Linked DNA regions of Arabidopsis thaliana. The protein of the gene in region 2 interacts with the protein of the main gene of each other region in a biochemical or structural test. Each region holds a gene or a part of one and is shown on either strand. Other genes may lie near its edges.

Region 1 (3,760 bases), on a different chromosome or scaffold from region 2:
ATCTTAATAGAAGTCTCACGATTCGATACTTCGATCGACCACAACCAGACGTAGTCTCGTGTGATTGTGTGACTAACTTTAAAAACAACAATAATGAAATCAAAACACGAAAATCTAATTCTTACGTCCTTGTTTTTTAAATTCTCTTACGTCAATTCTTACCTTTGCGACCAAAAGAACATGTTAAATTTAAACCTACTAATTTCCGATTTAAATTTCTTAATCTTGTTACTATGAACCAAAAATTACACAATCTTTTCCCACGGAACAAAGATTATTTATTAGTATCCATATACATACAAATATACAATACACTCAAGCCACTCATATTTCGTACTTGATCAAGATATTTTCCCCCGGTAAAATCCAATTTAGAATTGTACAACATATATATTGGAAGTTCCGTTGTGTCATACCGTCACACTAATAATACAGCATACCAATAATAGAGCGCAAACGTTTCACATTGAATAGTTCACCACATATCAACTTGAGTAAATTATTATGCTTAGAGTTGTTGTCTTTTTGTTTTTTTATTTTTTTTGAATATCTGGAAATTCAAACTCAAAGACCTTACATTTTCTAGAGGCGGGATCCACACCAGATTAAATTCATATCCTTTGGGAAAGAAATCTCTTCCAACATGCCTCAAACCCAGTATTTCTAACTGAGAGATTTACCTACATAATTCAACAATCATGTCTATTATGTTTTCAATTTAGGATATCTAAAAATATTGTGAAGATAAACGAAACAAAACTTGAGGGAAAAAAAACAGTCACGTGAGTCATGAGTTATAAAGCATGGATAATGTTGGAGATCTAATTAATCTAATTGAATGCCACATCAAATTAAGCCAATCAGTGGAGAAGATCAATAATAAAAGTGAATTGGATCTGCCACTACACTTTTAGCATGAATATGGCTAAAAGAGATTGGTATTGGTAATGGTATCGTTGTCGGAGATTGTCGTACCAATTAAATAACATGTAATTATTGGATATATATTATATTGTGTCGGCCTAGTCATATTTGATGTGTAAGTGCGAGTGATTTGAGTTAGATATGGGGTATTTTACGAGGAAAATATTGAACAATTTAGGGTATTTTAAGGGTTGTAGTTTGAGCATCACAAGTTAATTATATTTAGGTTCTGCGTAAATTTGACTCAAAAGATTAAGTTATCAAAAGAAACCTCGTATAATATGATCCATATTAATTTTCTTTTTTTTATATAGAAAAGTTGAAGATTATGAGTAAATTGGTAAACTCGCGATATTCCAGAGTTCAAAACGTAATTTTAATGACAATTTGGTGAATAGTATAAATTAATATATTAAGTAAAAGATAACATTCTATTCGATATTGGTTTAATATGTCAACTGTTATATGTACATATAAGATGTTACTGATATATTAAGTGAATAATATGATATTCACCAAAAAAAATTGTATAATGAATGTGACTTTGAGTTGAAAGTTTGAAAACGAAGAGACTATAACATTTGAAGGAATCTATGGAATACGGGTGTGGAACCAATAGTGGAGGCCCTCTTCATAAACCGAGTTTCCCGAGATCCAAATTGTGCTGATGGAGCGGTTTCTAACGTTCTTGTCGATAATACTTGCAAGCTTGGCCGAAGGAACAGAAGAGTTACCATGACGTCTACCATTACGCTCGCACCACAAAGTATGAATTGATTATATGGAATACATACCTTAGAATGAAAGTATGTAGTTTTGGATGAGAATCATCAAGTAGAAGAGGAGAGATTAAACTCCAACTTGTATTGTATCTCAGTATCTGTTGCGAAGAATTCCTTTAGTGAGAGATGTGTATTGATAGGTGAAAAGGAAAAGGTCTCTTACTTTCATATTACGTGGGCCTCATAACATAGACCAGAGCTGATAGCATACCTCTCTCTATATTAAATAGATGGGCCAGGCCCAAACGTTTACCCATCTGTATTTATTACAAAGTACACGTGGCTGATGGACATGTGACGATACGTTTTGACCTATTCAAAATATTCAAACTAATGAAAAAGAGTCGTTGTCCTCTGACGCGTCTCTCTCTATCTCCTTAGATTTTCAAAGTTTTCAACATTCAACAAAATCATTATTTTAATTTTGCAGAGACGAATCGAATCGATCTCATCTCCAAAAATCTTGTATTCAAAGTTTGATTTTCTGGGTTTCTTCTGTATTATCTCGATATTTGAAAAAAATGGCGAAGGAAATTGAATCAGCGACAGATTTAGGTGATACTAACATCAAAGGAGTTCTTGTTCATGGAGGAAGATATTTTCAATACAATGTTTATGGAAACTTGTTTGAAGTTTCTAATAAGTATGTTCCTCCTATTCGACCTATTGGTAGAGGAGCTTACGGTTTTGTCTGGTACAACTTCTACCCTTTTGTGTATTTCATATTCTTGTTTCTTACTTAGTATTTGTAACCCTAATTAGATAAAGAACTAAGTATTGGTATAGGTTTTTGAATTAGGGTTGCTTGCAAAATTTGATCTTTTTTGGATTTAAGAAAGGTTCTGTCTTCAAAATCATAGTTTAAATTGAATGAATTTGATGATTTGTTTGTGTTTGTGTTTATGTATAAGCAAAATGATTCATGAGAGTATTGGTTTATTGTTATAGTGCTGCAGTAGATTCGGAGACACACGAAGAGATTGCGATAAAGAAGATAGGTAAAGCCTTTGATAATAAAGTAGATGCAAAGAGAACATTGAGAGAGATTAAGCTACTTCGTCATTTAGAACACGAGAACGTAAGTTTTGTACTCTATTTTCGCGGTAAACGATTAGAGTTTCTAGCTAATGTGGTCTTGACTTGTACAGGTTGTTGTTATAAAAGATATCATTAGACCACCAAAGAAGGAAGATTTCGTTGATGTTTATATAGTTTTTGAGTTAATGGATACTGATCTTCATCAGATTATTCGATCAAACCAATCTTTGAATGATGATCATTGTCAGGTACGGTTTTTACTCTGCTATATTTGATACTATGGTTGATTTAATCACAAGTGATTCACTTTTTCTTCTTTTGCAGTACTTCTTGTATCAGATTCTACGAGGACTCAAATATATTCATTCAGCAAATGTTTTACATCGTGACCTTAAGCCGAGTAATTTGCTTTTGAATTCGAATTGCGATCTTAAGATTACTGACTTTGGTTTGGCAAGGACTACATCAGAAACAGAGTATATGACAGAGTATGTTGTAACACGATGGTACAGAGCACCAGAGCTGCTTCTTAATAGTTCTGAGTATACATCTGCTATTGATGTATGGTCTGTTGGTTGCATATTTGCTGAGATTATGACAAGGGAACCGCTTTTCCCGGGGAAGGATTACGTTCATCAGCTTAAACTTATCACTGAGGTATGATGTTCTGTTTTAGAAAGATCTGTACAAATGTTGGAAACTTTTATTTGTGTGTTGCAATGTGTTTATGAGTTGTTTCATGTGGTTGAGTAGTTGATAGGATCACCTGATGGAGCGAGTCTAGAGTTTCTCAGAAGCGCGAACGCGAGAAAATATGTTAAGGAGCTACCTAAGTTCCCAAGACAAAACTTTTCAGCTAGGTTTCCTAGTATGAATTCTACAGCTATCGATCTACTAGAGAAAATGCTCGTGTTTGATCCAGTAAAACGTATCACGGGTATGATGAGAAAAATTGTACATAGCGAGATTGGCATATGGGTGATGAATCCTTGATCATACTCTTTGTTTTGCAGTTG
Region 2 (3,760 bases):
AAGTATGTACCTTAGTTTTGAGGTCAGATAGTTGATCAAGCATAGACCGAGCCTGGCAATGAAAACGAAACAACGATTTAGGATGAAAGATTCGAAACAAAATTTGTCGATTTTGTAAGCTTAGAAATATACCTTGGTAGATCTTATTTGTCTTAGTGATGCATCTACTTGGCGTTCGAGATGCTCAAGCTCATTCACATCCATCTCGGATAGCTCTTCACCTAGCAAATGCCTAAAAAGAAGAAACATTTAGTAACAAGAGCATATATAGTTACATTTAGATGGACTAGGATATATAAGTACCTTTGTGAATGTTGAAGGATCTCAACTCTTGATTTAAGCTTCAAGTAGTCTTGATACTTATCCTGCCAATTTAAAATAAAATTAAGGACAACTTTGAGGTCAGTCTTTGATTGAAAGAGAAGATATGTACCTGCAAGTCTTTAGCTGATTGATTTGGATCCATTGTTGCATAACTATGTTTTCTATACTTATCAACCGTCCTCGCCATACCACTTTTCATAAAAACAAATGATCATTTTAACTTTTAACATATATTGATAAACCAAACTTTAAATTTCATTATGAGAATAATATAGAAAAAAAACCTTAAAAGCATCTCCATGTAAAAACATCAAGAACATCAAAATGGGTATCAATCTCATGATGTTTGTGCAAGAAAAATAAAATAAATTTATGTGGAAATGATAAGTAGCTAGTGAAATTGAGTATCATCACAGTTGTCTCTTTATAACTTTAATAAGATCATAAGTAGTACTTGAGAGAGATACTAACTTAAAGAAGTAGTCAAAGTATTTTTTATATCTTTTACAGCTTTGTGTATATATCCAGAGGTCAATTCTTAGTCTCTTTGGAAACTCTGATCAATCCTTTGGAAACAATATCAACAACACTCAATCTCATGTGTAAAAGCTTTAACTATATTTATATATGCTCTATAGCTTCTACACATATCTACTGTACTTTTTTCAGCCATAGTCTCTACTCTCTAGCTTTAATCATCATCTAGAGCAACTTAGACGCTTTGTACGTACTTTGATCATCGTTCACTTAATCTCACTCTTTACGAGCCAGATTTATGCGTATGAACTCACAAAATAAATAAACCGTAGTTAATCAACTAATTAATTGTAACTAAATCAAGAAAGACAACAAAGTTTTCATATCCTTTATAATCCTTAAGAATCAAAACCCTAACATGGATCAAAATATAGAAACTTTGAGGGAAAAAGTAGATATATCAAAGATTAAAGAGTTTTCACCTAGGGCTGCTGCAGAATTCGTAGAGCTTGCCACGGTTAGAGAAAATGAGAAGAGCAATCTCAGCATCACAAAGGACAGAAAGCTCATAAGCCTTCTTGAGCAAACCATTTCTTCTCTTTGCAAAAGTAACTTGTCTATTGATCTTGTTCTCTATCCTCTTCAGCTCAACTTTCCCTCTTCCCATCCTCTCTTTTTCTCTCTTCTCTCACCAAGAAACCAAAACCCAACTGAAAACTCTCCTCCTTTTTATCACTAAACCAACAAGTAATGAAAAAGAACCTTTATACACACACACATCTATATCTAGATAAAGTGTATAAGTAAATGTGTAGAGTGTATATATAGATCTTGTCTCAAAAGGATTCTGGTTCTTAATCTAGGGCATGAATTGGTTTCCGGTGACTAGGTGGTGGTGGTGGAGGAGGAGATTGTGGTAGTGGTGGTGGTGGGCCAACTGTGTTCAGGTTCTTCTTTTGTTGAACTGATTTTTAAGAGAATATAGCTTTGTGTTGGTTTTGCAGAGATGCTAAGCCATTCTTGGCCAAATAAATGCTTCCAAACTTATATCCAATCTTATCAACTTTCCTTTTTTAAAAATTAATATAAAATATTATAAATTCTAAAAAGTATTTTTGTGTAGTTACATTATTTTAGTCTTACTTCATCAGGGAATATATATTATTATTAATTTTCTTTTACACTTTTGTTTTTGCAGAAAATAAAAATTGATTCCTAGTACTTTTCTAAGGAGAGTTAAGATCTTTTTTTCTCTCTCTCTATAGTCCAAACAAAATGCTTCAACTTTTCTCTTTCACTCTCCTCCATTGGATTTTTTAAAGATAATATTTACACCATAATATATAAATAGATTGCTTTCTTTCATCAGATCTAGTCCATAGTTTAATAATATGCTCAAAAAAGAAATAAGAAAAAGATTCTAAATATAACCTATAAAGATGCCTTAAATAGAGCATATTCACAAGTCCAAGTCCTATCTAATATCTGGTTATGTATTGTTCATGAAATGAAAGAAGTGCAAATAAAGTTTTGTTGTTTTTTCAGGTATTGACACGTTTAGATTATGTAGATAACACTTATAATGTATATTGTGTGTGTTTGTGAATAAAAGTAAGAAAATGATAGGCTTCTAAAAGATATGTTTTTTTCTGCTTATGCTTTGCTTCTCTTGCCGACAAGTTCTTTCGTATGACAGCTACTTCACGATCGTTTTAATGCATAAAACGGATCTATACGGTTACAAACAAATTATGTCACTCTGAAATGGTTAATCTGATATGGTACTATTTACTATTTAAAGAGAAAATTTATTTACAAAGGTTTTTACGTCTCACATGCACTATGTCTTTTTATATATATATGGTGAAATTTAGATATTGAAATATATCATGTTTTTGTTTTCTTTCCAATTTCTGAAAATTTAGTCACGTTCTTGTTCAATACTATAAAATCAGTCCAATCATGTTTTTGACACTAATATAGATGTGTAAGAATATGCAATCTAGCATTTATTAGAGGGTTTCGTGTTTAGGTTCTCTTCTTAAGAAGACTGATGTATTTTACTAGTTAATCGATTTTCATAAAATACAGTAGAACTCACATAACGACTCTAGATTTATTTATAACAATAACTCGTACATGCTTGACACAAAAATTGCAGATTGATCTTGGCAAGAAAAAGGAAAATTGTTTATGAACATTTAAGCTCTCAAAGCCTTAGTGTTTTCAACTTTTTTTTTCACTTTAAAGGTTGGTAATTGTTTGACAGGTTAATTTTTTAGGATGCTTCTTGTCAGGTTAATTTGTTTTTCCTCACTTCTTCTCATGGCATCTTATACTATCTACATCATGATGATGATGGTTGTTGTTAATTTACTCATGTGATATGTCTCACACAACTTTTTTTTTAACTTTGCTTGCTGACTCATATTTCACTTGGTACCTTAGTTATTTTGTTCAACTTCTATAGATCGATGGAATATTAGTTTTTTTCTTTCTTTCTTTTGGGTACTATAAATCTTGTTGATGGAAACTTGATGTATATGCGCATGTCTTATCCAGATTATCATGTAAAATGATCCTTATCTTCTACGCACTTGCTATCCTCCACCATTCTTTTATGGTTCCAAGTTGTGACCTTACAACATGCAACATATAGATTGATGCTTTAGGAAACATCTAAAAAGAATAAATACGATATAATACTTGCAATGTGCTATTCCATCTTTTATATGGATAATTTAGGTAGATAATACACAACTTTAAAATGTCTAGTTTAGAAATGATCTCTGATAAAATTATATATATGAAAGTTGGCCAACACTCTCCATATGAGTAACACATCATCACACCAATGAGTGCCACATGTCATTCTAAATTAATATCATTAAAAAATAACAAAACTTAGTGATAAAAAAAAAAAAATCACATTGCATTGAATCACCCATTAATCCCATTC

What was found. Proteins that work in one complex are often made in the same cells at the same time.
Region 1: of the proteins of SEP4 (region 2) and MPK5, one has a biochemical effect on the other in vitro, tested with the Arabidopsis thaliana proteins (one large-scale study listed by BioGRID).

The regions. Positions count from the first base shown.
Region 1 is NC_003075.7:6,889,916-6,893,675, forward strand, and holds the start of MPK5 (MAP kinase 5), read left to right. Parts: upstream 1-2,010; 5' UTR 2,011-2,227; coding exon 2,228-2,400; intron 2,401-2,654; coding exon 2,655-2,784; intron 2,785-2,854; coding exon 2,855-2,992; intron 2,993-3,068; coding exon 3,069-3,401; intron 3,402-3,497; coding exon 3,498-3,681; intron 3,682-3,757; coding exon 3,758-3,760.
Region 2 is NC_003071.7:1,127,330-1,131,089, reverse strand, and holds the start of SEP4 (K-box region and MADS-box transcription factor family protein), read right to left. Parts: upstream 1,823-3,760; 5' UTR 1,469-1,822; coding exon 1,284-1,468; intron 516-1,283; coding exon 434-515; intron 366-433; coding exon 304-365; intron 233-303; coding exon 133-232; intron 53-132; coding exon 11-52; intron 1-10. UniProt on the Arabidopsis thaliana protein: Probable transcription factor that binds specifically to the CArG box DNA sequence 5'-CC (A/T)6 GG-3'. Plays an important role in the determination of flower meristem identity. Involved in the specification of sepal identity.